Linked DNA regions of Rattus norvegicus. The protein of the gene in region 3 binds, or shares a complex with, the protein of the main gene of each other region. Links are inferred from orthologs where the notes say so. Each region holds a gene or a part of one and is shown on either strand. Other genes may lie near its edges.

Region 1 (3,930 bases), on a different chromosome or scaffold from region 3:
CATAAAGTATAGCCTGCAAAAGGACTGAGGCTTGAGTTCAAGCCCTAGGACCCACACAGCATAAAGTGAGAACCGACTCCTGCAAACTCTTCTCTGATCTCAACTCTGCATCCCTCACACACCTGTGGCCCAACAGATGTCATTTTAATAATAAGGTGTAGAGTGACTATGGAAGACAGCTGATGTCCACTCTAGCCTTGACATGCACAGCATGCCCACATGCACATATGCACACACACACGACTCTGGTCATGAGGAATGTGGGACTTACAACAGTAAAACAGACTGGTCCATGAGATCACGGAGACCACCCGAGGAAGGCTCAGGAGCAACCCAGACAATATGGAAATAGTAACATTTTAACATGACACCCAGAATACTGGGTAGTTTAAAACTTTGGCCTTTAACACTTTTTTCCTCTTAGTATTATCTAGAGAATCCTGTTATGTAGCTCAGGCTGTTCAAACTTATGATCCTCCTGCTTCCACCTCCCTGGTGCTGGGATGCTAGTATCCCTGGCTGTACCCATCTTGTGGTATGGTTTTATCCTTTCGAGACAGGGTCTCACTGTATAGGCAGTCTGCTCTGAAGCCCACTGTGCAGACCAGGCTGGCCTCAAAGTCAGAGATCCACTGACTCTGCTGCCAAGAACTGGCATTAAAGGTATGTGTCACTATGGCCTGCTGGCTTTATCTTAAAAACAAACACTCCAAACTTATAAAATGCATTTGTTTTTGTACATGACATGGCCTGCTTGTCATCTTGTTACCCGTTACTTTACTTTATAGTATACATATAGACATGGTCTATATATATATATATATATCCGGGGCTTCACTCAAGCTCACTATGTAGCCAAGGATGGTCTTCAATTTGAGATCCTATCCCCTTTCCCATGCTGGATAACAGGCGTGTGCCAGCCAACATGCCCATTATACATGGCGCTGGTGGTCCCCCTGGCCTCCTATATGCCAGATGAGTGCTCCATCAATTGAACCGTACCCTCAGGCTAGCTTCTTCTCTTTGAGATAGGATTTATTTAGTATAGGCTGGTCTAAAACACTCAGTCTTTCTACCTCAGCCACCAAATAGCTGGAATCACAGGTCTGCTGGGGCTACAGGTGTGGGCACTACTGTTTCAGTAAAGTCACCAGCCCAGGGTTAGGTCTCTGCCCCAGACACCCAGAGGCATACACTTACCTGGTTCCAGGTAGCAAAGTTGACTTTATCAGCTGCATTAAAAGCCATTATGTTGTATCTTTTGGCTGTGTTCCTGGAATGGGCAAGAAACTATTCAATCCATCGATTAGCCATTCAACAAATCTACGATTTACACCCTTGGTTGTAGGTAATTCTGGGAACTCAAAAAAGACTCGGGAACAATGGTCCTCAACCTTCCTAAAGCTATGACCCCTAATACCCCTATGACCCCCTCATGCTGTAGTGACCCAACCATAAAATTATTTTTGTTAGTTCATAACTGTAAGCTTGCTACTATCATGATTCATAATGTAAATATCTGTGTTTTCTGATGGACTTAGGCGACCCACAGGTTGAAAACCACTGCTCCAGTTTCTCAGGGATTTTTTAATTTTGTTTTTGTTTTGTTTTTTTTAAAGACTCCATCTCATCCAACCCCATATAAAGATCCATAGGCACCAGGCACTCTCACAACACACATCTATATACACACAGGCATACACAGAGATAACACTAAATCCTTAAGAAAAAAATGAACCGGGGGCTGGAGAGATGGCTCAGTGGTTAAGAGCACTGACTGCTCTTCCAGAGGTCCTGAGTTCAAATCCCAGCAACCACATGGTAGCTCACAACCATCTGTAATGAGATCTGATGCCCTCTTCTGGTGTGTCTGAACAGCTACAGTGTACTTATATATAATAAATAAATAAATCTTTAAAAAAAAAAAAGAAAAAAGAAAAAAATGAACCAAAGGTGTAGAGAACCTTTATGTAGAGAGGAAGGCAGGCAGGCAAGGGCTGGAGGTGAATGGGTCTTAGTGGGTTTCAAAGTCAGCCTGGTCAAACCGGCTAGACTACACAGTAAAACTGTGTCTTCAAAATAAACAAAAAAATAAAAGGGGACTAGGTGTAGATCAGTGGTACAGTGCTTGCCTACCACAGGCCCACCTAAGATAAAATTAGAAGTTGAGGGCCATGGCACTTGGCACAGAAAGCAGGATGTGTACTACTTGTGACCAGTTTGGAATTTTGTTTTATTTTGAGACAGGCTCTCACGATATGTAGCCCTGGCTGGTCTGGAACTCCCTCTATAGACCTGGCTGACCGCGAACTCAAAGAAATTCTCTTGTTTCTGCCTCCCAAGTGCTGAGATTAAAGGCAGCCACCATGTCTGGCCTGACCAGTCTGAAACAGGACAGAGTCACAGACCCTAACATTAACTACCAAGATTTACCAAGACATATTACTATGTCTTGGACGCGGCAGTAGGGCCAGCGTGGCAGGGGAACACAGGGCCGAGGTTCTAAAGTGTGGATGGACGGGGACTTACTTGGGGACTCGGACGACGTACTCAGTGACATTCTGGCTGCTGGAGCCCTGCAAAAGAACAGGAGTCTGTAAGGCGAGAAGAGGGCGCGGGGTCTGTTTTGCGACACCTCCATCCCCACCTCATTCATACTTACTAGAGCCGCCATGGCCGTTGCTCAAGCTGCTCCGGGTCGGCCAGACCTGGATGGTCTTGGTTGTGTCCCTCGGACCCAGGGAAAGCACCTTTCCTGGTTGTCACGTTAGTGTGATCCTGTGCTTTGGATTTCCAAACCCTTAAGTCTCCTAGAATGCTGGAAGACGAGAAAAAAAAGAGACTTAGAACGCTGCGCATGCGCCACAGCCTGACCCGGAAGTAGAACTGCCACACGGAGACGAGAGCTACCACTGTACCTAGTCTGTGTCTTCTCCAGCTTCTGAGCGAAATAAAGCTGCTTTCTCCCAGTGTTCTCTTTTACATCACGGATAACTTATAATCACGTGAGAATACGTCACTTCGTGACGTCAAGACGCGGGCAACGTGGAGCATCTTGGGTAGGGTGGGAATGGAGTCTTCTGGTGTTCGCGTCCTCGGTACTCTCGCGCAAGCGTAAATGTCCAAGAAGCGGGAGCGGAGGCCGCGTTGCCATGGCAACCGAGGCTCGCTCTGTGGAATGGCCTCCGGGGCTCTTCTGGGGTGGGTCTGAGATTCCGTTTTCTTTTGTGTCCTGGAGTCAGGGGATCCCGAGGATCTTGCAAAATGAGTCCCTTGTGACGTAAAGCGGAGCCGAGGAGTCGTTGCAGGGCAGAGACCCGGCCCCGGCGTACCCCAGCATTGCGGGCGGGATGGGTCTGTGCGAGTCCACGCTGCCCCAGCTGGGCAGAGCTTTACGGCCCCAGGAGAAGGGTAACAACATGGGGTAGTTGGTCTACATGAGGCAACGGAAGGGGGCGGTGGGCAGGTATCCCACCACCTGATTGTGCACACCAACCCTTGCACGACAGGAACGCATCTGCACATGCTCCCACCCCACCATTGGTTGATGCCTTTGGAATATAACTTGAGTAGAGGAGCCAGTGTCAGAGATGGAAAGTACAATTCTCGGGGGAGGAATCAGAAAAAGGGAGCCTGTGGGACTCATAGGAGTTGGGACCCTCAGAGGGTCAAGGGTGGTACAGACATTGAACCTGAGAAGGATGAGATATGGTGATTCCATGTTAGTCTTTACAGAACCATAAACAACTGACTCCACTGATGTATCTAGTAGCGGAGACATTCATTTCTTCACTTTCGGGGAGCGCACCGTGAGTTACAAAGGCTGGTTAGGAAGACTAAAGGGAGTCAAAAAGGACAAAGAACAAAGAACCATGACTGTGAAGGAGAGGAAAGGGTTGTGTGACTAGAGGCACAAGCAGGCAGGATAGA
Region 2 (4,222 bases), on a different chromosome or scaffold from region 3:
ATTCCGAGCCTTCTGTCATCTATTCCCTGCTCATGGACACAGAGCACAGAGCCCCCAACAACTGTGGATGGCAAGAGGTCAACAGCGCAGATGGGGAAAGAGCTTGCTCCAACCCTGATGACCTGACCTCCACCCCCAAAATCCACAGCAGCATGCGATGACCTGAAGGCGGTCTAAATGTCACACTGTGGCGAGTGTGTATGCCCACACATCCACATAAATATGTTCTACAAAAGAAACGAGAAACCCACAGCTGTCAGCTGTGAATGATGACTTTGGATTATTTATAATCCTACTACCCAGGAGGCTAAGGCAGGCCAGTCAAGCAAGAGACTCACAATGTCATTCTTGTCTACACGTGTCCCTACAATCTTCAAGCGTATCTCATCGTCCTGCTGAATTACAATGTCCTGTGGAAAGGAGAGAGCAGGGTCATCAAGCAGACTCAGGCCTGGTCCTCATCCCTCTCACCAACTCCTCCTCATTCGCTCACCTCATCCATGGTCTTGTAACAAGGGGGGTTCGAATTTGGATCAAACTCCATCTCTGAAGGGATGGACTAGAAGGAAATTGACACAAAGGTTAGCATTTCAAATAGCTGCATCAAAGGATGAGAGTCAGGGGCTGGTTTCTCCTCCTCGGCCTCACCCCACACGCCCAGACTCACGTGTCGAGAGATGAAGCAGGACATGGGCCCAATTTCTGTGAAAAGTCCAACCTAGAAGGAAAATGACCGTGCTTCAAACGCTCTGAAGCATCTTTACCTGATTTCTAGGCACATTATTCATGTTTCTTAACAGTTTAAATTGTAGCATTTGTTTTAATTTCTCTCTGTGTAATCTTTCATTTCTTTACATTTTTGTTCTTCATTATTTTTATGTGTAAGAATATTCTGACCTCACATGTGCCTGTGCACCATGTACCTGCAGTGCCCATGGAAGCCAGGAGAGGGTATTGGGACCCTGCAGAATTAGGAGTTACAGATTATTGTGAGCCATTGGCTGGGTGCTGGGAGTCAAACCCAGGTCTTATAGAACCAGTAGGTGCTCTAAACCACTGAGCTATAGACCCCTTAGCCTTTAAGAAACTTAATTTCTGAGGCTAGAGAGATAGCTCAGTGGTTAAGAGCACTGACTGCTCTTCCATGGGTCCTGAGTTCAATTCCCAGCAACCACATGGTGGCTCACAACCATCTGTAATGAGATCTGATGCCCTCTTCTGGTGTGTCTGAAGAGAGCTACAGAGGAGTGTGTATAATAAATAAATCAGGGGCTAGAGAGATGGCTCAGCGGTTAAGAGCACTGATTGCTCTTCCAATGATCATGAGTTCAATTCTCAGCAATCACATAGTGGCTCATAATCATCTGTAATGGGATCTGATGCCCTCTTCTGATGTGTCTGAAGACAACAGTGTACTCATATAAATAAAAATAAACAAACAAACCTTAAAAAAAAAAAAAAAAAAAAGAAAAGAAAACCCAAAACTAAGATAAAATAAAATAAATCTTGACAACCACAAAAGGCTTAAGGCAACTAATAAGTGGACTGGGAATTGAACTCTCACCTTAGGAAATACCCCGTAACCTTTCTTTTTTTTTTTTTTTTTTTTCTTCTTTTTTTTCGGAGCTGAGGACCGAACCCAGGACCTTGCACTTCCTAGGCAAGCGCTCTACCACTGAGCCAAATCCCCAACCCCATAACCTTTCTATAAATAATACTCTTACCTTGTTGACCTGAGTGACCACAGCATCCACCACTTCCCCTTTAAAGGGCCGGAAAACAATAGCTTTGTATTTCACTGGATAAAGAACAAAACCTCGGCCCGGCTGGATCACACCAGCACCAATATTGTCGATGGTAGTGACAGCAATCACAAAGCCATATCTGCAGGAAAGATGAAAAAAGACAGCTACTGTATGTGAAGAGCCTCTAAAAAGCCACCAGCAATAGTCTGCGTGTGATGGAACCTCTGCTCGAACAGCTCGATGACCAAGAAGAGACAGAACTCAGATTAGCACCTGAAATATTAAATGGTGCTCTCACAATTGTACAGTAAATGCCCAAGAAGGCACAGATATGCTGACATACACCTATTCTCTCAGTACCAGGACTTGCCAGGTCAGTGGTGAGACAGGTCTTTCGAAAACCACAAATCAGACAGAAAATTGTGACGAAAACCTTTAATCCCAGCACTCAGTGGCAGGCAGTTCTCTGAATTAGAGGCCAGCTTGGTCCACATAGTGAGGCCATCTCGAAACCCAAAACATTTGCATAATAACGGTCTGATCTCGCATAAGCGAAGAAAATTTGGTTTAGCAACCTTTTAGAAGGCCCAAAATAGGCAAAAACTGGCTGCTTCGGATGCCTGGAGTGGTGAAAGAGTTCCTCAGAGTAAGTAACAAGCCCTGACTGAAGGAGTGAAGTAGAGGTTACAGAGTAGCGTTATTGTGCCTGCATTCAGCAGACGACACTGTGAATCAGACACTTACTTCCCAGTGCAGGTCCCCTCCACCTCGGTGAACAGCTTCTGCTTCACCGTGTTGAGCAAGTTGGGACCAAAGTAGCGTGGGTGCAGTAGGATCTCGTGCTCCAGGGAAATCTGCAGAGAAAGGAAGATGAAGACTCCGCCAGCCACACTGAGAACAGGAGGCGACCCGTCGGCCCTCCAGGCTCCTCCTGTCCCTGCCCTCACCGCTACCCCGCGTCCAGCTCACATGATAAAACATCTTCTGCAGAAGCTTGGACCGCAGAGGCCAGAACTCCCCAGGAAGGGACCTCGCCGGAAGCACTAGCAGAAGTCCCACCAAGTCTCCGCAGTCGCTTCCGCAGATTTGAGTCTTAACGCCATGGGCGGGGAAACGTGAAGCCCCGCCCCTCAGGCCTTCCCATCAGCGCTCATCAGCACAGCCAGGATTACACAGAAAAACCCGGTCTCGAAAAACCTTAAAAAAAAAAAAAAAAAAAAAAAAAAAAGGTTAAGAGGTCTGGCTTGTCGCCACATGCCTTTAAACCCAGCCGTGGCAGACAGATCTCTAAATTCAAGGCTAAGCCACATCTACAAAGTGAGTTCCAGGATAACCAAGACTGTGTATACAAACCCTATAAAAAAATTTGTTTTTGGGGTTGGGGATTTGGCTCAGAGGTAGAGCGCTTGCCTAGCAACCGCAAGGCCCTGGGTTCGGTCCCCAGCTCCGAAAAAGAGAAAAAAAAATTGTTTTTTAAATTTTATTTTAGGGGCTGAAGAATTAGCTCAGTCCTTAAGAGCACTTGCCAGCCCCCACAGGATAGCTCACAATCTTATCTGTAACTACAGTTCAGAGAGAACTGACACCCTCTTCTGGCTTCATTCAGCACTGCATGCTAGTGGTACACAGACATAATGCAGGCAGAACACCGATGCTTGTAAAATAAAAATAAAGATGAGGTAGTTGGGGAGATTGCTCAACAGTTAAAATCAATGGTTGCTCCTCCGAAGGATCCAGGTTTGATTCCTAGAACAAACATGGTAACTCAACTAGCTATATTTCAATCCTAGGGGATCCAGTGCCATCTGGGGCCTCCATGGACACTTCTCCCTTGTGGTGAACAGGCATAGATACAGCCAGAACATTCATACATATAAAATAAAAATAAAGGTTTTTACACATAAAATAAAAATAAAGCTCTCGAAGAGGACCTGAGTTCAATTACTAACACTGCACCCGAGGTCTCACAACTCCAGCTCGAAGGGGATCTGAAACTTTCTCATTGCCTCAGGAGGTACCAGCACTTGTGGGCTTGTACTCACATACAGATAACAGACATCATTGAGTACACCTAATTAAGAAGAAGTCACTTGGAAGTGTGGCACACGCCTTAAATCCCAATATTCAGGAACAAAAGGCAGGTGGGTCTTCAAGTTCAAGGCCAACCTGGTCTACAGCATGAGTTCCAGAACAGCCAGGGATACATTAAAAATGAAGGTGTCGGGGTTGGGGATTTAGCTCAGCGGTAGAGCGCTTGCCTAGCAAGTGCAAGGCCCTGGGTTCGGTCCCCAGCTCCGGAAAAAAAAAATGAAAGTGTCTTGTTAAACAAAACAAAAAGACAACAAGCAAAAAGATTACTTATGTGGGCACGCACTGGGCTTACTTTCTTTTCTATTTGAGGGACGGTTTTATTATGTGACCATGGATGACCTGAGATTTGCTTTGTAGAGTAAGCTTGCCCTGAACTTTTTTTTCCC
Region 3 (3,500 bases):
GATTTATTTAAAGAACAAAGAAACACTCGGAGCCAAGCATGGTGACTCTTGAAGCTAAAGCAGAGTGCCCTGAGTCCGAAGTCAACACACACTACGAAAGACCCTGCGTTGCCTGCCTGCCTGCCTCCCTCCCCCACTCACACACACACACATACACACACACACACACACACACACACACACACACACACACCTCTAGATAGATGTAGCAAATACCCATTTTTACAAGTTTTAAGAGTCGTCTTACCTCTGTCATTAGCCATTGTTTCTGCTTGAGTCCAATGTCTAAGTGCTGTGTTTCATCCAAAATCTCTTCCAGAGTTAAGGGATGCGTATCTCCTCGCTGATGTCGTGTCTGTAGAGGAAAGTTTTATATGTAAACTGATATAAACTGATCTTTTCAGGAATATACAACATGTAATATCTGAGGCAGTATGACTACCAGGATCAACAACATGAAATCATACAAAACCAGATTGGTAAAAAGTCAAACGATAAACTAACAAGGAAAAACATCAGTTTTCCAACTTTAAGCCAGGTATGGGAGTACACACCTGTAACCGCAGTATGTGGGATGCTTAGGCAAGAGAGTCCTAAGTTGAAGACCAGCCTAGGCGAAATGATGACTTCAAGTCTAGCCTAATCTACATAAAAGTTCAAAACTGATAGAGGGTACATAACAAGATGAAGATGTATTGATCTGGAAGAGGAGGATGACAGCAAAAACAGACTTTCCTTTTTTTTTTTTTTTTGGATCTTTTTTTCGGAGCTGGGGACCAAACCCCGGGCCTTGCGCTTCCTAGGTAAGCGCTCTACCACTGAGCTAAATCCCCAGCCCCAAAAACAGACTTTCCTAGTTATTGCAAATCAATTAAACAAAACTTGCAGGAAACCATAGATAACAGAAAAAGAAATTCAAATGTCCTTAAACATAAACAGACAACTCGCCAAGATGCTTCTCACGATCAGATAGAAAACTATGAATGTCTGATGCGTCATAGGAAATAGGCTTTCTCACTGACTATCACAATATAAAGTACCTCGACCCTTACAGGAAACAAAATGCACTCTTAACAGCATGACCATTGGTGAGGACTAATTTAGCTACAGCACAATAAATGCTATATAGTTGTTTTCTTTTAAACAGGAAGTTGTCTGTGTGGCCATTTCACTATTGGACCATAGTCGTACGCTCATGCTTCAAGAAAAGGTCACCTCTAGTGTCCTCCACTGTGGTAAAAGGGATGGGCTGGACACAAACAATGAGATCACCGATGGCAACTTCCGTAAGTAGATCCAAAAGCTGATCAGGGATAGACTGTACACACACACACACACACACACACACATATATATTGCCAACTTATGAATGCCAAAGGTGGTAACCCAGAGGTGGGGGATGTGGCTCCTGAACGGGCCTCTCAGAAGACAGTGAGATTCTAAGATTAATCCAGTCACCGCGCTGTGCACCTGGATGTTAAGGGAAATGTGTTCTAAAGTAAGTGGCTTCTCATGGGACACATCCATCTAAAAGGTGAACAAGATACCACAGGGATAAGACAGCAGGATTAAGGACTGAGAATGACTTGTGTCTCAATCTTTTCATATTATTCTATATTTTATATTTATTCTGTATTTTCAAAGGTCTTATACCTGTCTTTTCTGTGTACATTTTAGTATGGTGTGTGTGTGTGTGTGGGTGTGTGCGCGCGTGCGGGCGCGCGGGCGCGCGGGCGCGCCCCTGCGTGGCTCACACATGCACGCACATATCTGCTAGCACTTTCTCTGAGGTTCTCACTTCTTGCTGTAAAATCACTGTGTTGATTTGAATAGTCAGGACCCCGAAGACTCATGTGTTTGAATGTTTGGCCCATGGGGAATGGCACTATTTGGAGGTGTGGCCTTGGAAGGAAGTGTGTCACTGGAGGGGAGGGGGAGGGGGAGGACTTTTCTCAAAGTCTCCTATGCTTAAACTCTGTCCACTACGGAACTCATCTTCTCTCTTGCCTTCTGGATCAAGATGGGATTAAGATGTAGAACTCTTGGCTCCTTCAGTACCGTATCTGCCTGGATGCATGATAATGAACTGACCTCTGACACTGTAAATCAATTAAATGTTTGCCTTTATAAGAGTAGCACTGATTATGGTGTCTCTTGAAGCAATGAACTACAACAATCCCTGCATCTACCTCGGTTGCCCTATAACTCTCCTTGAACTTTCCATAGTTTTTAGTGAGCAACTAAAGAGGTCTACTGCAAGTATTTGTGATGTTATATTTACCTATTTTGCTTTTGAAGTTCCTTTTATAGATCCTCTAAAAGGAGAGAAACAGGACAACTGACAAACCTTGCCAGTTTACAAGTTACTTTCTATTAGATATGCACACTTGCCCTTTAAAAACAGGCCTTAGGAGAAAGGAGGGAGAAAGGAAGAAGGGATACAGCCCGCTTCCACTCACAATTTGCAAGGGTTTTGCTTAAATTCAGGCACATTCAATCTTTTGACACTATGACACAGTTGTCATCTACAAAGTCCATACACCAGACCTTGCAACAAAGATAAAATAACAAAAAACTGTTTAAAAAGAAAATCTAATATAGCTCAGTGAGCAGAGTGCCTGCCCAGCACACATACAGCCTAACTAGGCATGGCACCACACCCATAACCCTAGCACTGGGAGCTCAGGGAGCTGGGGACAGGAGGGTCAAAGCCATCCTCTAGACAGTGAACTGAGGCCAGCCTAAAGTGGTGCTCAGTAATAAAAGATGATTGCTTAGCATGCACAAAACCCAGAGTTTGATCACCAACACTGTCCTCCCATGCCTCCACACAGACACAGGGCACTTTGGCCCTACCTACAACACTCCAAATTCTCATATACTTTGTAAAACTGATCGGCTCCCCTTTTAAACAACTTCTCCTCTTCTAATCCTAACGTACTTCAACTCCATTCAGTATTATCCAAGAGTGCACTGTTCTCAGGAAAGTGTGAGATAAAAAACAAAGAGAATAACACCCCCAATCCAAATATTTAAATCTAAGTAATTTTCTTCAGGACTCCCAAAGTTCATTCCTTAACTATTAATTTTGGGGAAAAATGTATATTTAAAGAGCTAAAGCGGGGCTGGGGATTTAGCTCAGTGGTAGAGCGCTTACCTAGGAAGCGCAAGGCCCTGGGTTCGGTCCCCAGCTCCAAAAAAAAGAACCAAAAAAAAAAAAAAAAAAAAAAAGAGCTAAAGCAGTATCTACTGGGAAGCCATTTCCTTTAAGTAACAAAAATATTTACTAGGACTACCAAGCTGTTCTAATTATGCTACGTAAAAACCCATTAAGTGGTATATACCTTTAATCCCAGAGGCAGAAGATCTCTGTGAGTTCCAGGCCATCCAGAACAACATGGTAAGACCATGTCTTTAAAAATTAAAAATAGGGGTTGGGGATTTAGCTCAGTGGTAGAGCGCTTGCCTAGGAAGCGCAAGGCCCTGGGTTCGATCCCCAG
Region 4 (3,994 bases), on a different chromosome or scaffold from region 3:
ATTGAGTGCCAGTTGTCTCATAGTAATCTCAGAATAATAACATGATCACAATGAATACAGGACTGAGACACAGCTGTTGGGGCTGCAAAGGGGAAACAAGATTATGGGGGCTGGGGGAGTGGGGCAGTACCTTGACTACAGTTATGGTTTTAAAAAAGGAGTAAGAAAGACTGGTTGTTATGTATTCGATTCTGTGTAAGTTCATCATATTAACTTACTGGACTACCAAAGGGTGTCAGATGATATGCCGGAGGCTGGAAAAGAGGAAGGCTGAGGAGACAATTCTGTCAGACACCTTGTAGACATCGGAAATTCATCCCCTCAATCTCTTTTCAAACTCAAATGTACTCTCCCCCGTCTACAGATATGAAAACTGAACCCAGGGATACTGATACGACTCAGAAATAAAGCTAGGTGAGATTGTGGGCAGCGTATCTCAAAATAGCGTGTGAAATTTTTAATGGTTTGAATATTTAAGTTTGATGGGAGCTGGAAAAACGGCCCAGCATTAAAAGTACTGGCTGCTCTTCCAGAGGACCTAGGTTTGACTCCCAGCACCCACATGGCAGTTCATAACCAGCTATAACGGTAGTACCAGGAGATCCAATGCCCTCTTCTGGCTTCTGGGTCTTACTACATTCCCCTGACTCACAAATGTAGACCAGGCTAACCTCTCAAGCACTCAGATTAAAGGTGTGCAGCACCACAGGAGCACCTACTTGATAGCTCTGCTTTATTTATCTAACATAAATACGCAAGAAGCACAGATGCTCTAAACGCACAGAGGTGGAGGATTACCATGAGTTTAAGGCCAGCCTGGGTTACACAGTGAGTTCCAGGCCAGCCTGAACTACAGAAAGGAAGAGAATGAGAAAGGGAAAGATGAAAAGACAGGGAGAGAAGGGAAGGGAGAGGAAAGGAAGAGAGTAGGTTTTCTTTTCTCCTGTTACTTACAACCCTCTGCTGTATTATTTGTATTAATCAGACTTTAGTCACTGTGACCAAATATCTGACAGAAACAATTAAAGATTTATTTTGCACTGGGTATCTTAGTCTCTATCTGTGGAAAAGCGAGGAGGAGCACTGCAAGCTCACATCGCAATGGCCACGATATAGAGAAGATATAGACAGGGCCAGGGCAGCCCTAAGAACATACCGCCAGTATCTACCTCTTCCAACTAGGCCCTCACCTCACCACCTTTCACTACTTCCCAGAGACGCCATATTACAAATCCACCTAAGGAGTAACTAATCCCTTAATTAGATCATAGCCCTCATGACCTACTTTGCCTCCAGAAAACAGCACCACAAACACACCCAAAGGTGTGCTTCACTAACTGCATAAGCTCTTAATCTGATGAAACTGAGAAGACTAACCCCCACCCACTTTAGTTTTGTGTCTCTCTGATATACAGCCTTTTCAATTTCTTATATTCATCACACACTGGGAAAGTAATATGTGCCAAACACTAATCAAAGTGCAAAGAAAGTGACTTGGAGGTGGAGGCAATCAACACTGGGTACAGGTACAAAGAATCACCAGAAACTGTTAAATGGTTTGAAAAACTTAACATGGTCTGCAGAACTGGCAAACGGGAGCTGTTCAGAGTAATGGACAGGAAAAGACACCTTGTCTTGATGAGAACTCAGCCATGTGCTTAAAACATTGACACTCACTATAAAGATAAATCATTGATAAACCAACTTTGGGAAACGTTGATGATCCCATTTAAATACGGCTTTTTAAAACGAGATTTCCCACAGAGTAATAGTCCCCCAGTCCATATAAAAAATGTAACCCAAATAGATGGTGACCACTGGGGCAAACAAAGCCTGGCACGTGTCCGTTTAAAACATTTACTGATGGTTAAGTTTCATGAAACCTAAACTCGCTCTTTAAAAACACTAAGTCAACAAACTTCTCTTTGAATTCGGAACTTCCAGGTCTTTCGAAAACTCCAATTGGATTACCAACTCAGGGAACACTTTACCAGTGGAAAACTCCAATTGGATTACCAACTCAGGGAACACTTTACCAGTGTAAAGCGACAGAAGTCTTCCAGACCAGCAGAGAGAGAGAGAGAGACAGAGACAGAGACAGAGACAGAGACAGAGACAGAGAGAAAGAGAGAAGAGAAGAGAAGAGAAGAGAAGAGAAGAGAAGAGAAGAGAGAGAGAGAGAGAGAGAGAGAGAGAGAGAGAGAGAGAGAGAGATTCTGTTTCAAAACAAAACAGCAAAAGTTCACAGGGACCAGTTCCACTTTGTGGTCCAGAAAACTGTGTATCTACTCACCTAATTTATACACATTCATGACTAAAGTTAACCTTACCAAAACAAAGACAAAAAACAAACAAACAAACAAACCCGCAAGGGCTTTTCCGGCATGGGGTAAAATTTACTGCTTTCTCGGGAACATCAGGAAGGCCAGGTCTTGGCGGTAAACAGAGTTCTATGGTGGGCGGATGAAATTGACAGACAGACTGAAAGATGCCCTGTGGCCCCTAAAGTAAGTTCTCCAACCTGCAAACAGGCGCAACAGCGACCCGCTTCTCAGAACAGCGGTGGCCCGGGAAAGACAGACCCAGAACTTTCGGAAGCGCCCCGTGGGGCTCGCGTCTCACCTTCACCAGCCACACGCCGGTGTTCTGTTTGGCGCCCGTCAGATCGAGTTCCCCGCGCTCCGCCATAAGTTTGTCGTGTGAGGCGGCGTGCGCGCACAAGCAGCGACCCGGGACTGAACGTCAGAGAGCGATAGACAGTCCAGAGCCGGACGCTGGGACAAGTAGACCGCGAAAAGCCGGAGTGGCTCACCGGCCGGGAACTAGAAACTTAAGACGAGAGGAACACGCCGCTGAATGAAGAAGTGCGCCTGCGCACGGTACGTCCGGACAGCGTCCCGCGAGGGACAAATTTCCTGCTTCCGCAATTTCTCAGGTGGGTGTGACTCCTGCCAACATGCAAACCTGAGACCCAAGTGCAGAAAGGAAAAACCAAATCCTGAGTAGTGCATTTAAAGAAAAGGTGCCAAAAATGGGGGAAAAAAGGTTAAGACAGACAAAAACTGTATGTATTCATACCCAACCCTAGCTGAAGAGGCTAGGCATTTAAAGGACAGACTTAGGGGTAAAAGTCACTTTCTTGGCCCAATGTCATTGGCACAAGTGGGCACTAAGGTACAAGTGAGTATGCTGGACACATGCCTTTTCGAGACTTAAAAATAAGTTCACACGGTGCAAGAAGAATACACTCTTTCAGACGCCAAAGCCCAAATGCCATCTATTTGGGTCAGTAAGACCCACCACGCAAGAAATAAATCTGATTATTTAACTGCCCTGCTTAAACAGTTTCCTGTTGCAGGATATTTAATCACACTATGAACTCTGAGATTGTGAACTGGAAGAATCTGCTAATAACTGTGGCTCAGCCTTTGATCCCAGAACTTTCTGTTTACTGTAAACAAGTATTTGTGGCCTGGAACAGTATTGGTGCGCACACCTCGGTCCCAGAGCTAAATAAAGTCAACCCTAGATCAAGAGGCAGAGCAAGTAACCAACTGACAGAGAGTGAACATAAGCAAGAGAAAGGAGGCACTTTGAGTTGAAGGGTGTTGGAGAGTGCATGGAGAGCTGGTAGAGTAGGAAGGTCAGCTGGGTGCTTTCTCTGCCTCTCTGAGCTTGCCAGCTTTCATCACAGCTTCTGCCTCCTGAGTCTTCATTTGGTAATTTCCTCTGGCACTTGCCTTTGGAATGAAATTCTACCCTGTGTTTTACTGGGTCCTCTCAGTTTGATCCTCCTATTCTCACAATTCCACACAGGATTCCACACCAATCCCATCCACCTACATGAAGACTCCAGGCCCTTCCTCCTACCATTTCACTACCTCTTTGAAACCAACACCTGTGCCTTAGATACTCCCCCCGCCCCGTCCTTTTCTGGCCCTATCATTTGGCAAACGTCTACTTATAAACAAAGACAAGTAGAAAAGAAACAAAG
Region 5 (4,197 bases), on a different chromosome or scaffold from region 3:
GAACTCTCAAGTAACCAATCCTATCAGACTTTATGCTTTATCCTGTAAGAAATGTTATAATATCCGCAGTATATTCTAAATAAGCAGTGTACACGTGTATAAGGTCATATCTACAATAAGGGGAAAATATAAAGAAAGTTTAGACTACAGTACTCAGGCACAACACTGTAGATACAGCACTGTAATACTCAGATACACAGCGATAACCAGACAGCACCTGGATTTACTGGTCTAAACCTTACAGCCCCAGAGCCTTTCTGTCACCCAAATATTTAAGTATGTCTGGGTTCACTGCCACATCAGAATCCCAGTATGGTACCAGATACATTTTGATCTCCTTTCCAATTTTTTCTACACAAGGTACTTTCAAACCACATTTTGCTTTCTGCAAACTCAGCAGCTGACAGAATAGAACATAATGGCTTCAGAAACATGCAAAAGACCAAAGGGCAGACGAATGCCAGCATAGCCTATTGTTTTCTGTATTCCTTTCCACTGCTTTACTCCTCTCTAGCCCAGGCGCAGACACTGTATGGTCCAGACATTGGTTATCAACCCTGACTGTAAAGCAGTCACCGAGGCAGCATTTTTAAGCATCCTAACACTAACACATAAAACATTCCCAAGAGTTGTTTCAGCTATTTCAGAAGGGTCGGATTAGGAGCACTGCTACTTTTAAAATCCCTATAGATTGCTCTACTGTCCCGTGGCCATACCATTGTGGATCCTGCTAATAGTGAACATCTGCATGGGGAGGACCCAGTGCCTATTGTTCGGTCTGTTTCCTGTCTGATACTCCTCAGGTCAATACAAAGGAACCATATCCAGACTCTTCCAGCCAATAGTCTGAAGCTTGGAAATCCCAGGTCAGTTTCTTGGTGTTAGCCCCAGAAAATCCATAGTCTCTTCACATATAAAATGATTAAAGAGCCTTTCTCACACAGTTAATATATGAATTAAATCAAATAACTAACAGAACACATCTGCTTCTGGGCTGGCATATGAGTTCACCTGAAGTACTGACATTCAGAACACACCCTGCCCCCATCTAACTGACGTGTATGCCAGTGAGCTGGTTTGAAAGTGTTAGCATTATGATTGTATCAGGAGCTGTGGCATAAAACCTAAACCTAGGAAGAAAGGGAGGGATTGCAAGGACAAGATAAATGAAATTTGTTACAGAAACAAAATAGAAAGATTCCAACAATATACTGAGGAAAAAAAAAAAAACTTGACACAAGTGCCTGTGTCAAGCCATAAGGAGGAACTGTGCACAAGAAATAGAAAACATCTTAAAGAGAACTAACTCTTATAGACCCGAGGCAGGGCCATCCACTTTCAGAAGTGTCTTTGACAAAATACCATCCTCCCTGGAAGACTCACACAAGGCAGCTCAATCTCTGGGTTTCTTAAAGCCCCTTAAATCAAGTTCTGAAATTGACAGCCCGTGTGGGATGTTTTCAACATTTTATGAATTGGTTGTCAACAATTAAAAATCTTGGTGCCTATAAATCTCCTCTTGCAGATCCGAAGTAAATGACAAAAGTGGGCCCACGTTACTGCATTACCTAGTCTCTAGGGGAAGTGACTCTCAAGAAAGCAACTTCTCTGTCTATGGAGACTTCTTGGTAGGGTAGCTACTGGTCTTCATTATCTTCTTTTTACATCTCACAACTTCACTTTACCCAGTCCAGACCTAGATTCTAATTGTAAAAACATGTAAGGACTACTGTGCCCCTGGTTTGGAATTGAGAGAATCAATAGTTGAAACCACTCTGCTTTTAGCATAACCATCCTCATATCCACCCACCAGTTCCCTCCGTCCTCAAAGCTAAGCCCAAACCTTTCTCCTACCCTCCTTGGGCATTGAGTAACGTTTCCTGGCCTTCCCAAATCCCCAACAGTAACATCTAATGCTCTCCCTCACACTTCCTCAGAATCTGGGCAGTTTCTACCTCTATGACCAGAGACTTCATCTTGTTCAATGCTACCGCCTAGCATAAACTACTCAGAGACTTAAATCCAACTTTCAATACATCCTCTGGGCACGTGTTCTTGTACTATACCCATCCTGCCAGCTTCTACACAAATCACTTGTTTCACACCTGCATCCCAGTAATGAGAGCTATAAGCCATTCTTCTTACTTTTAATTTAACTTGTAATTGCTTTAAGCAAGGAGTTCCTAGATTAAACGTGTGATATTTGAAAAACCATACTGGATGAAAAGTAAGGGATAAAAGAACAAAGTGGGTGCAGGAAGCCCTTTTAGTTAAGACTATTTTAAAACACTACCTCTCAGGTTCTAAAAGAACGTGGATTCTACAGAGCCTCTACAGTTTTCTGTTACTGTATTTTACGAATTCTCCATCCCTTCGTCCTTTAAGGGGTCCACGACGGAGACAGCTCTGGACCGAGGTGGCTCCACCAGCTGTGTTCAGACGTGTCCAAACCCTGAGACCCCACAGTCCCTCAGACGCGCCCAGGGGCTTCCTGGGCCACACTTGACGCCACCAAGCCCGTCCTACCCGAAGTCGCACATGGGCCGCTCCGGGGCAATGGTTCTTTGGAAGACTAAGAACAGGACCAAAGCAAGAGGTGGCCGAGGAGAGGGGACTAGAAAAGGAGAGGGGCAGATAGGAGGAGCCATGAAATAAGCCACGCCGGGTCAGAAACCGGGAACAAGGAGCAGGGAATGAGGTTTACCCAAATGGATGCTCGAACACTCCCACTACAGCCGCCCTCAGCACCTCAACTACCGGCTTCAGCCAGCCCACGCCACTTGCGAGACAAGGACGAACGCTTAATTCCTGCGACCAGTTTGGAAACCGCCCGTTAATCCGCACAGCGAAGCTTTCGATCAGTCACGTTCTGACCGACCAATAAGATGATATGCCCTGCCCACAAGCCCTGCTCGGATTGGTGAGAATCCAGGAAGGGGCGTCAACCTCAAGGAAATCGTGGCAAGATGGCGTCCCTGGATCGAGTGAAGGTTCTGGTATTGGGAGACTCAGGTGAGCAGCTTAACCCGCGTCTGGGACTACCGACGAGCCCGAGCTTCCAGATACCCCCTCACATTTCGTATTTTTACCCACCAACTTCCTAGCGCTTGGGTCCACGGCTGAAATTCCTTTCAAGACCTTAAAACTACACTTCCCAGAGGACTTTGCTCCTTTTGTCGACGTGGTGGCGTGGCGGGAGGTGGGGGCGCAGAGCCCCGGTCTTTCTGTCTTTCTGGTGGTCTCCCAGGCAACCCCAACCTAGAGTCTACTGTCAATTCCTTTATTGCTCTTGTTAAGCAAACAGAACTTGATGCGATCGCGCCTTCAGGAAACTTTGTTCATTGAGTCAAATATACACTAAGAATACACTGACCTGTATTAACAACTTTAATTCTAAAATCAGACTTTTAACTCCATTCTACAGATGAAAACTATGAGAGGAACTGGTTCGAATCCACAGTAGCACGCAGTGAGATGTTAATTAGATGGATTTTACTTTTAATTACTTTCTACATACCTGAGAACTGAACCTGGGTCTCTTGTGCAACAAGAGATGCTCACTGAACCATCTTTCCAGCTGTTCCACCGCAAGCTTTGTTGTTGGGGAGTGGGGTTGTAGGGTAAGACATGGTCACACTAATTAGTCAGGACTAATGTAGAACTGACTATGCATGTCAAGCTGGTCTAGAACTCACTATATAAACAAGGCAGGCCTAAAACTAATATACACCTACCCCTGCCACCAACCTTCTTTTTAAAGACAAGCTCTCCCCTTGGCCTGGAGAATAGGCTAAGGCTGTCAGGCCAGCAAACATCAGGGATTGCTTATCTCTGCCTCCCCAGCACTGATGTACAGACATAGGCCTCTATACCTGGCCGCTGTGTGTCACTTCTGTGGACACAACTCGGGATCTCAAGCTTGTAGGGCCAGCACTGAGCCCCAGGTGATTCCTTTGTTTGTTTGTAAGTACACTTTGTATATGATCACAGTAACAACATGGTCATAGAAAAACATCATGTGGTCTAAGGTGAATTTTGCTTTTTATACCTTCTCAGTTGTTGAAAATAGCATTTTTATAATAAAACATAAGTAGGGATGATATGTGTGTGTGTGTATAAATTATAGCACACAAAGAGATTTCCTAGGTTTTTTATATAATTAACTACAGACAGTTAAATGAATGAGTGACTCCACAG
Region 6 (3,950 bases), on a different chromosome or scaffold from region 3:
CTATCCTGACCCTCAGGAGTCTGAGGTGGGTGAGTCACGAGTAGGGGTGGGGGGTTGGGGGGAAGCCCAGGCTACAGAGTGAGCTCCTCCGGACCAGTTTGGGTTACATAGTGAGACAGTCTCAAAAGAGAGCAGGAGGGGGCTGGAGAGATGGCTCAGTGGTTAAGAGCAATGACTGCTCTTCCAGAGGTCCTGAGTTCAAATCCCAGCAACCACATGGTGGCTTATAACCATCTGTAATGGGATCCGATGCCCTCTTCTGGTGTGTCTGAAGGCAGTGACAGTGTACTCACATAAAATAAATAAATAAATCTTAAAAAAAAAAAAAAGAGAGCAGGAAGGGTTCATGAGAAGATTCATGAGGTAAACCGCCATTGTCTTTTGACCTGAGTTCAATTCCCACACATGGTGGAAGGAAAGAGCTGAACCAAATTCTGCAGATTTCCTCTTCCTTCCATAGGCCAGAGGTATTGGATTCCATGGAGCTAGTCCTAAAGGTGATCGATCGTAAGCTGCCTGATTTGGAGGTGGGGGGGTGGGGGCTGGAAACCCTAATCCTCTTCAAGATCAGAAAGTGCTTTTAACTACGGAGCGGTTCCTCCAGGCCCTTAATTAATGCATTTTTGTTTGTTTGTTTGTGAGCCTAAGCTTTAATATCTGAGTCATCTCTCCAGCCCATATTAATGAATGCTTAAAAAACACGTGGTAGAATCTTGCTAGAGTAAGAGTTCAATAAATAGGAGGAGCTGTTTTTAGGTTTCCTGTCTTAAGTTTGGATACCAGTATTTTATAAATCGTGCTTGTCTGGTACAATCTCGCCTTTGTAACTTAAAGGCTCCGAACAGCTTCCAATTCCTCTGTTATTTTCTCCTAAACTCTATTCCCGACTTGGACAACCAGGACAGAACCAGGAGGAGCAAACGTCAATGAACTGTAACGATTCTCTCGACATTCTACTTTCTGTGTTCTGTTCGAAGTCTTCGGCGATCCTCAGCGATGCCTTGGGCACCGCTTCTCTCCGGAGTCCGCCCTCTCACCGCTATGCGCACGCGCCAGTTTTCCGATTGGAGGAATGACGGGAAGACTCAGCCAATGGCATCGCGAGGAAGGTGGTGCTCTAGGTCACGCCCCCTCGTTGAATATTCAGGAGGCGGGCGAGTGGACGCCGGGACAAGCCGCCATGAAGTGAGATGGGGTCTCGGGAAGAGTGGTCGGCACTGCGGTGGGCGATGGGGCGGCCGGTGGGTGTAGCCGGGGCCAGGTCGCGGCGTGGAGAGGCTACGGAGACCGGTCCGGGTGGCTTCGGGGTCCGTGGCGGGGAGACGCCACGGAGGCGGGCGGGCGGCGCGGAGGCCGGGGCGGCTCGAGAGCACCAGGCACCGACGCCTCGTCGCCGCCAGGCTCAACGTGGATGGGCTGCTGGTCTACTTCCCGTACGACTACATCTACCCGGAGCAGTTCTCCTACATGCTGGAGCTCAAGCGCACGCTCGACGCCAAGGTGTGTGGTGAGGCCGTTCTCCTGGCACTCTGGTGGCTCCCGCAGGCTAACATCCTTGCTATCCCGCACCCTGAAAACCCAGGCAGGAGCATCGCTGCGAGTTTGGAGGCCAGCCGGGTCTGTACAGCGAGACTGTGTACTAAACAACAAATGTAATTAGCAGGACTAGGAGCCCAGTTGGTAGGGTCTTGCCTAGCTACCATGGATGAAACTCTGGGTTCCATTTTGGCACCGCATAAATTGAATGGGACAGTAATTACAATATGTTTGTAATTCCCGGAGCCGGGAGGCTCAGGAAAGATTTCTCGAGTTTGAAAGACAGCCTGAGTTTCATAGTGAGTTCCAGGCTAGCTAGGACTATATATAGGGAGACTGTTTCCAAAAACATTTAGCTAATAGGGGAGAGTCGGTTATAGCTCAGTTGGTAGAATACTTGCTTAGTGTGCCCAAATCCCAACACCAAATTAACACGGCATAAGATGATGCATACCTGGAACCCTAGCCCTGAGGAGGCTGAGGTGGGAGGAAAAGTGGAGGTTTGCAGCCAGTCTGGGTGAGTTCCAGGCTAGCCAGGGCTGTGTAGCCCGACCTTTAAAAAGATAAGGGCCATCAAGATGGCACAGCACTTCATCTTAGCAATCCTCCTGCCTTAGGTTCTTAGGTAGCTTGAGTGACAGGTTTTAATCACGCTGACGGGCAGAGGCTGATTGGTCTGTGTAGAGGTGTTCCTGGCAGTCACAGTAGTGGAGGGAAGGATTCCATATGTGGAGATCAGAGGGCAACTTTGTGGAGTTGGTTTTTCCTTCCACTTTTGTTTCGTTTTGGGTTTTGAGACAGGGTTTCCCTGGCTCTCCTGGAACTCAATGCATAGCCCAGGTTGACCTCAAACTCAGAGATCCACCTGACTCTGCCTCCCAAGTGCTGGGATCAAAGGCATGCACCAACACCACCCAGATATCCTCCACTTTAATGTGGGTTCTAGGGATCAAACTCAGGCTGTTAGGCTTGGTGGGAGCACCTTTACCTGCTGAGCTATTTCAACAGCCCTGAACACAAACTTATTTTTTTTTTTTTATTCTTTTTTTCAGAGCTGGGGACCAAACCCAGGGCCTTGTGCTTGCTAGGCAAGTGCTCTACCACTGAGCTAAATCCCCAACCCCAGAAACTTATTTTTTAAAAAAGTTTTTAATTATACTTACTTGGAATGTGTGTATACATGCTATGGTGTGCATGTGGAGGGTAGAGGAGTTGGTCTTGGGGATTGAACTCGGGTGATCAGGCTTGACCACAGGCGCCTTTACCAGCTAAGCCATATTGCTGGCCCACAAATGTATTCGTCCTCACAACCTTGCTCCAAGTAAGGCCTATAGAAGCAAGGATGTTGCAGTCCAGAGAGGTAAAGGTTCCTCCTGTCTGCTGCTCAGTAAACTCGTTAGCTGTGTCAGTAGGAGGGACACAGAAATAAGGTTCAGCCTGTAATCCCAGTACTCAGAAAGTGGAGGCAACAAGACTGCCAAACGTTTGCAGCCAGCCAGAGGTTCATAGTAAGTACTAGGCTAGCCAGGCCCTTGGGGTATAGGTGGGGATTAAGAATGAAAAATTTAGGGGCTGGGGATTTAGCTCAGTGGTAGAGCGCTTACCTAGGAAGCACAAGGTCCTGGGTTCGGTCCCCAGCTCCGAAAAAAAGAACCAAAAAAAAAAAAAAAAAAGAATGAAAAATTTAGGGCTTGGGGATTTAGCTCAGTGGTAGAGCGCTTGCCTAGCAAGTGCAAGGTCCTGGGTTCGGTCCCCAGCTCCGAAAAAAAAAATGAAAAATTTAGAAACATCCAGACCATGTCCAGTACAGAAGTCAGTGCTAGCAGCAGACCACTGAACTGAGAACAGGACCCCCTTGGGGGGAATTAGAAGAAGGAGATTGCAACCCCATAAGAACAACAATGCCGGGCTGGAGAGATGGCTCAGTGGTTAAGAGCACTGTCTGCTCTTCCAGAGGTCCTGAGTTCAATTCCCAGCAACCACATGGTGGCTCACAACCATCTGTAATGTGATCTTGGCGCCCTCTTCTGGAGTATATTCAGGCAGAACACTATATACACAATAAATAAACCTTAAAAAAATAAATAAATAAAAATAAAGAACAACAATGCCAACCAACTACATCTTTCAGGGACTAAACCACTACCCAAAGACTATACATGGACTGACCCAGGGCTCCAACTGCATATGTAGCAGAGAATAGCCTTGTTGGGGCACCAGTGGAAGGGGAAGCCCTTGCCAGAGTTGGACCCCCAGTTCAGGGGAATATGGGGGAGGTGGCAGTAAGGGGGATGGATGGGGAGAATACCCGTATGAGGGAGGCGGGGAGGGGATGGGGGTTTATGGATAGGAAACCGGGAAAGGGAATAACATTTGAAATGTAAGTAAAGTCCAGCAAAAAAGGAGGAGTGGGG

What was found.
Region 1: Gtf2e2 (region 3) and Gtf2f1 share a complex: the UniProt entries of both Homo sapiens proteins name them as parts of the TBP-based Pol II pre-initiation complex. The link is inferred for Rattus norvegicus from reciprocal best matches to the Homo sapiens genes GTF2E2 and GTF2F1.
Region 2: Gtf2e2 (region 3) and Polr2g share a complex: the UniProt entries of both Homo sapiens proteins name them as parts of the TBP-based Pol II pre-initiation complex. The link is inferred for Rattus norvegicus from reciprocal best matches to the Homo sapiens genes GTF2E2 and POLR2G.
Region 4: Gtf2e2 (region 3) and Gtf2f2 share a complex: the UniProt entries of both Homo sapiens proteins name them as parts of the TBP-based Pol II pre-initiation complex. The link is inferred for Rattus norvegicus from reciprocal best matches to the Homo sapiens genes GTF2E2 and GTF2F2.
Region 5: the proteins of Gtf2e2 (region 3) and Gtf2e1 are in contact, whole or in part, in a crystal structure (PDB 5GPY), measured with the Homo sapiens proteins. The link is inferred for Rattus norvegicus from reciprocal best matches to the Homo sapiens genes GTF2E2 and GTF2E1. Residues at the interface, in NP_002086.1 of Homo sapiens: Asp159, Gln160, Arg161, Gly162, Leu163, Gly164, Gly165, Leu167, Leu190, Val192, Asn193, Arg194, Pro195, Ile200, Phe202, Cys208, Gln209, Phe210, Ser211, Val212, Asp213, Glu215, Phe216, Gln217, Leu219, Trp220, Arg221, Val223, Thr224, Val225; in NP_005504.2 of Homo sapiens: Arg16, Lys19, Tyr20, Val21, Arg23, Gly24, Phe25, Tyr26, Ile28, Glu29, Leu32, Arg39, Leu51, Leu52, Lys53, Phe54, Asp55, Gln58, Gly68, Asp69, Lys70, Phe71, Lys73, Thr98, Asn101, Val102, Val103, Lys104, Tyr105, Lys106.
Region 6: Gtf2e2 (region 3) and Ercc2 share a complex: the UniProt entries of both Homo sapiens proteins name them as parts of the TBP-based Pol II pre-initiation complex. The link is inferred for Rattus norvegicus from reciprocal best matches to the Homo sapiens genes GTF2E2 and ERCC2.

What each region holds. Positions count from the first base shown.
Region 1 is NC_086027.1:1,937,398-1,941,327, forward strand, and holds the start of Gtf2f1 (general transcription factor IIF subunit 1), read right to left. Parts: upstream 2,801-3,930; 5' UTR 2,675-2,800; coding exon 2,663-2,674; intron 2,577-2,662; coding exon 2,530-2,576; intron 1,274-2,529; coding exon 1,201-1,273; intron 1-1,200. UniProt on the Homo sapiens protein: TFIIF is a general transcription initiation factor that binds to RNA polymerase II and helps to recruit it to the initiation complex in collaboration with TFIIB. It promotes transcription elongation.
Region 2 is NC_086019.1:215,118,857-215,123,078, forward strand, and holds the start of Polr2g (DNA-directed RNA polymerase II subunit RPB7), read right to left. Parts: upstream 2,801-4,222; 5' UTR 2,727-2,800; coding exon 2,715-2,726; intron 2,603-2,714; exon of another isoform or gene 2,600-2,602; coding exon 2,490-2,599; exon of another isoform or gene 1,885-2,489; coding exon 1,725-1,884; exon of another isoform or gene 719-1,724; coding exon 668-718; exon of another isoform or gene 560-667; coding exon 494-559; exon of another isoform or gene 411-493; coding exon 339-410; exon of another isoform or gene 1-338. UniProt on the Homo sapiens protein: Core component of RNA polymerase II (Pol II), a DNA-dependent RNA polymerase which synthesizes mRNA precursors and many functional non-coding RNAs using the four ribonucleoside triphosphates as substrates.
Region 3 is NC_086034.1:65,124,802-65,128,301, forward strand, and holds part of Gtf2e2 (transcription initiation factor IIE subunit beta), read right to left. Parts: exon of another isoform or gene 3,411-3,500; coding exon of another isoform or gene 3,345-3,410; intron 356-3,344; coding exon 248-355; intron 1-247. UniProt on the Homo sapiens protein: Recruits TFIIH to the initiation complex and stimulates the RNA polymerase II C-terminal domain kinase and DNA-dependent ATPase activities of TFIIH. Both TFIIH and TFIIE are required for promoter clearance by RNA polymerase.
Region 4 is NC_086033.1:57,733,678-57,737,671, forward strand, and holds the start of Gtf2f2 (general transcription factor IIF subunit 2), read right to left. Parts: upstream 2,801-3,994; 5' UTR 2,689-2,800; coding exon 2,623-2,688; intron 1-2,622. UniProt on the Homo sapiens protein: TFIIF is a general transcription initiation factor that binds to RNA polymerase II and helps to recruit it to the initiation complex in collaboration with TFIIB.
Region 5 is NC_086029.1:76,686,435-76,690,631, reverse strand, and holds the start of Gtf2e1 (general transcription factor IIE subunit 1), read right to left. Parts: upstream 2,801-4,197; 5' UTR 2,705-2,800; intron 2,666-2,704; exon of another isoform or gene 2,527-2,665; intron 2,147-2,526; exon of another isoform or gene 1,569-2,146; intron 1-1,568. Other genes in the region: Rabl3 (rab-like protein 3), read left to right, coding at 2,967-3,012.
Region 6 is NC_086019.1:88,160,192-88,164,141, forward strand, and holds the start of Ercc2 (general transcription and DNA repair factor IIH helicase subunit XPD), read left to right. Parts: upstream 1-1,150; 5' UTR 1,151-1,180; coding exon 1,181-1,185; intron 1,186-1,400; coding exon 1,401-1,500; intron 1,501-3,950. UniProt on the Homo sapiens protein: ATP-dependent 5'-3' DNA helicase. Component of the general transcription and DNA repair factor IIH (TFIIH) core complex, not absolutely essential for minimal transcription in vitro.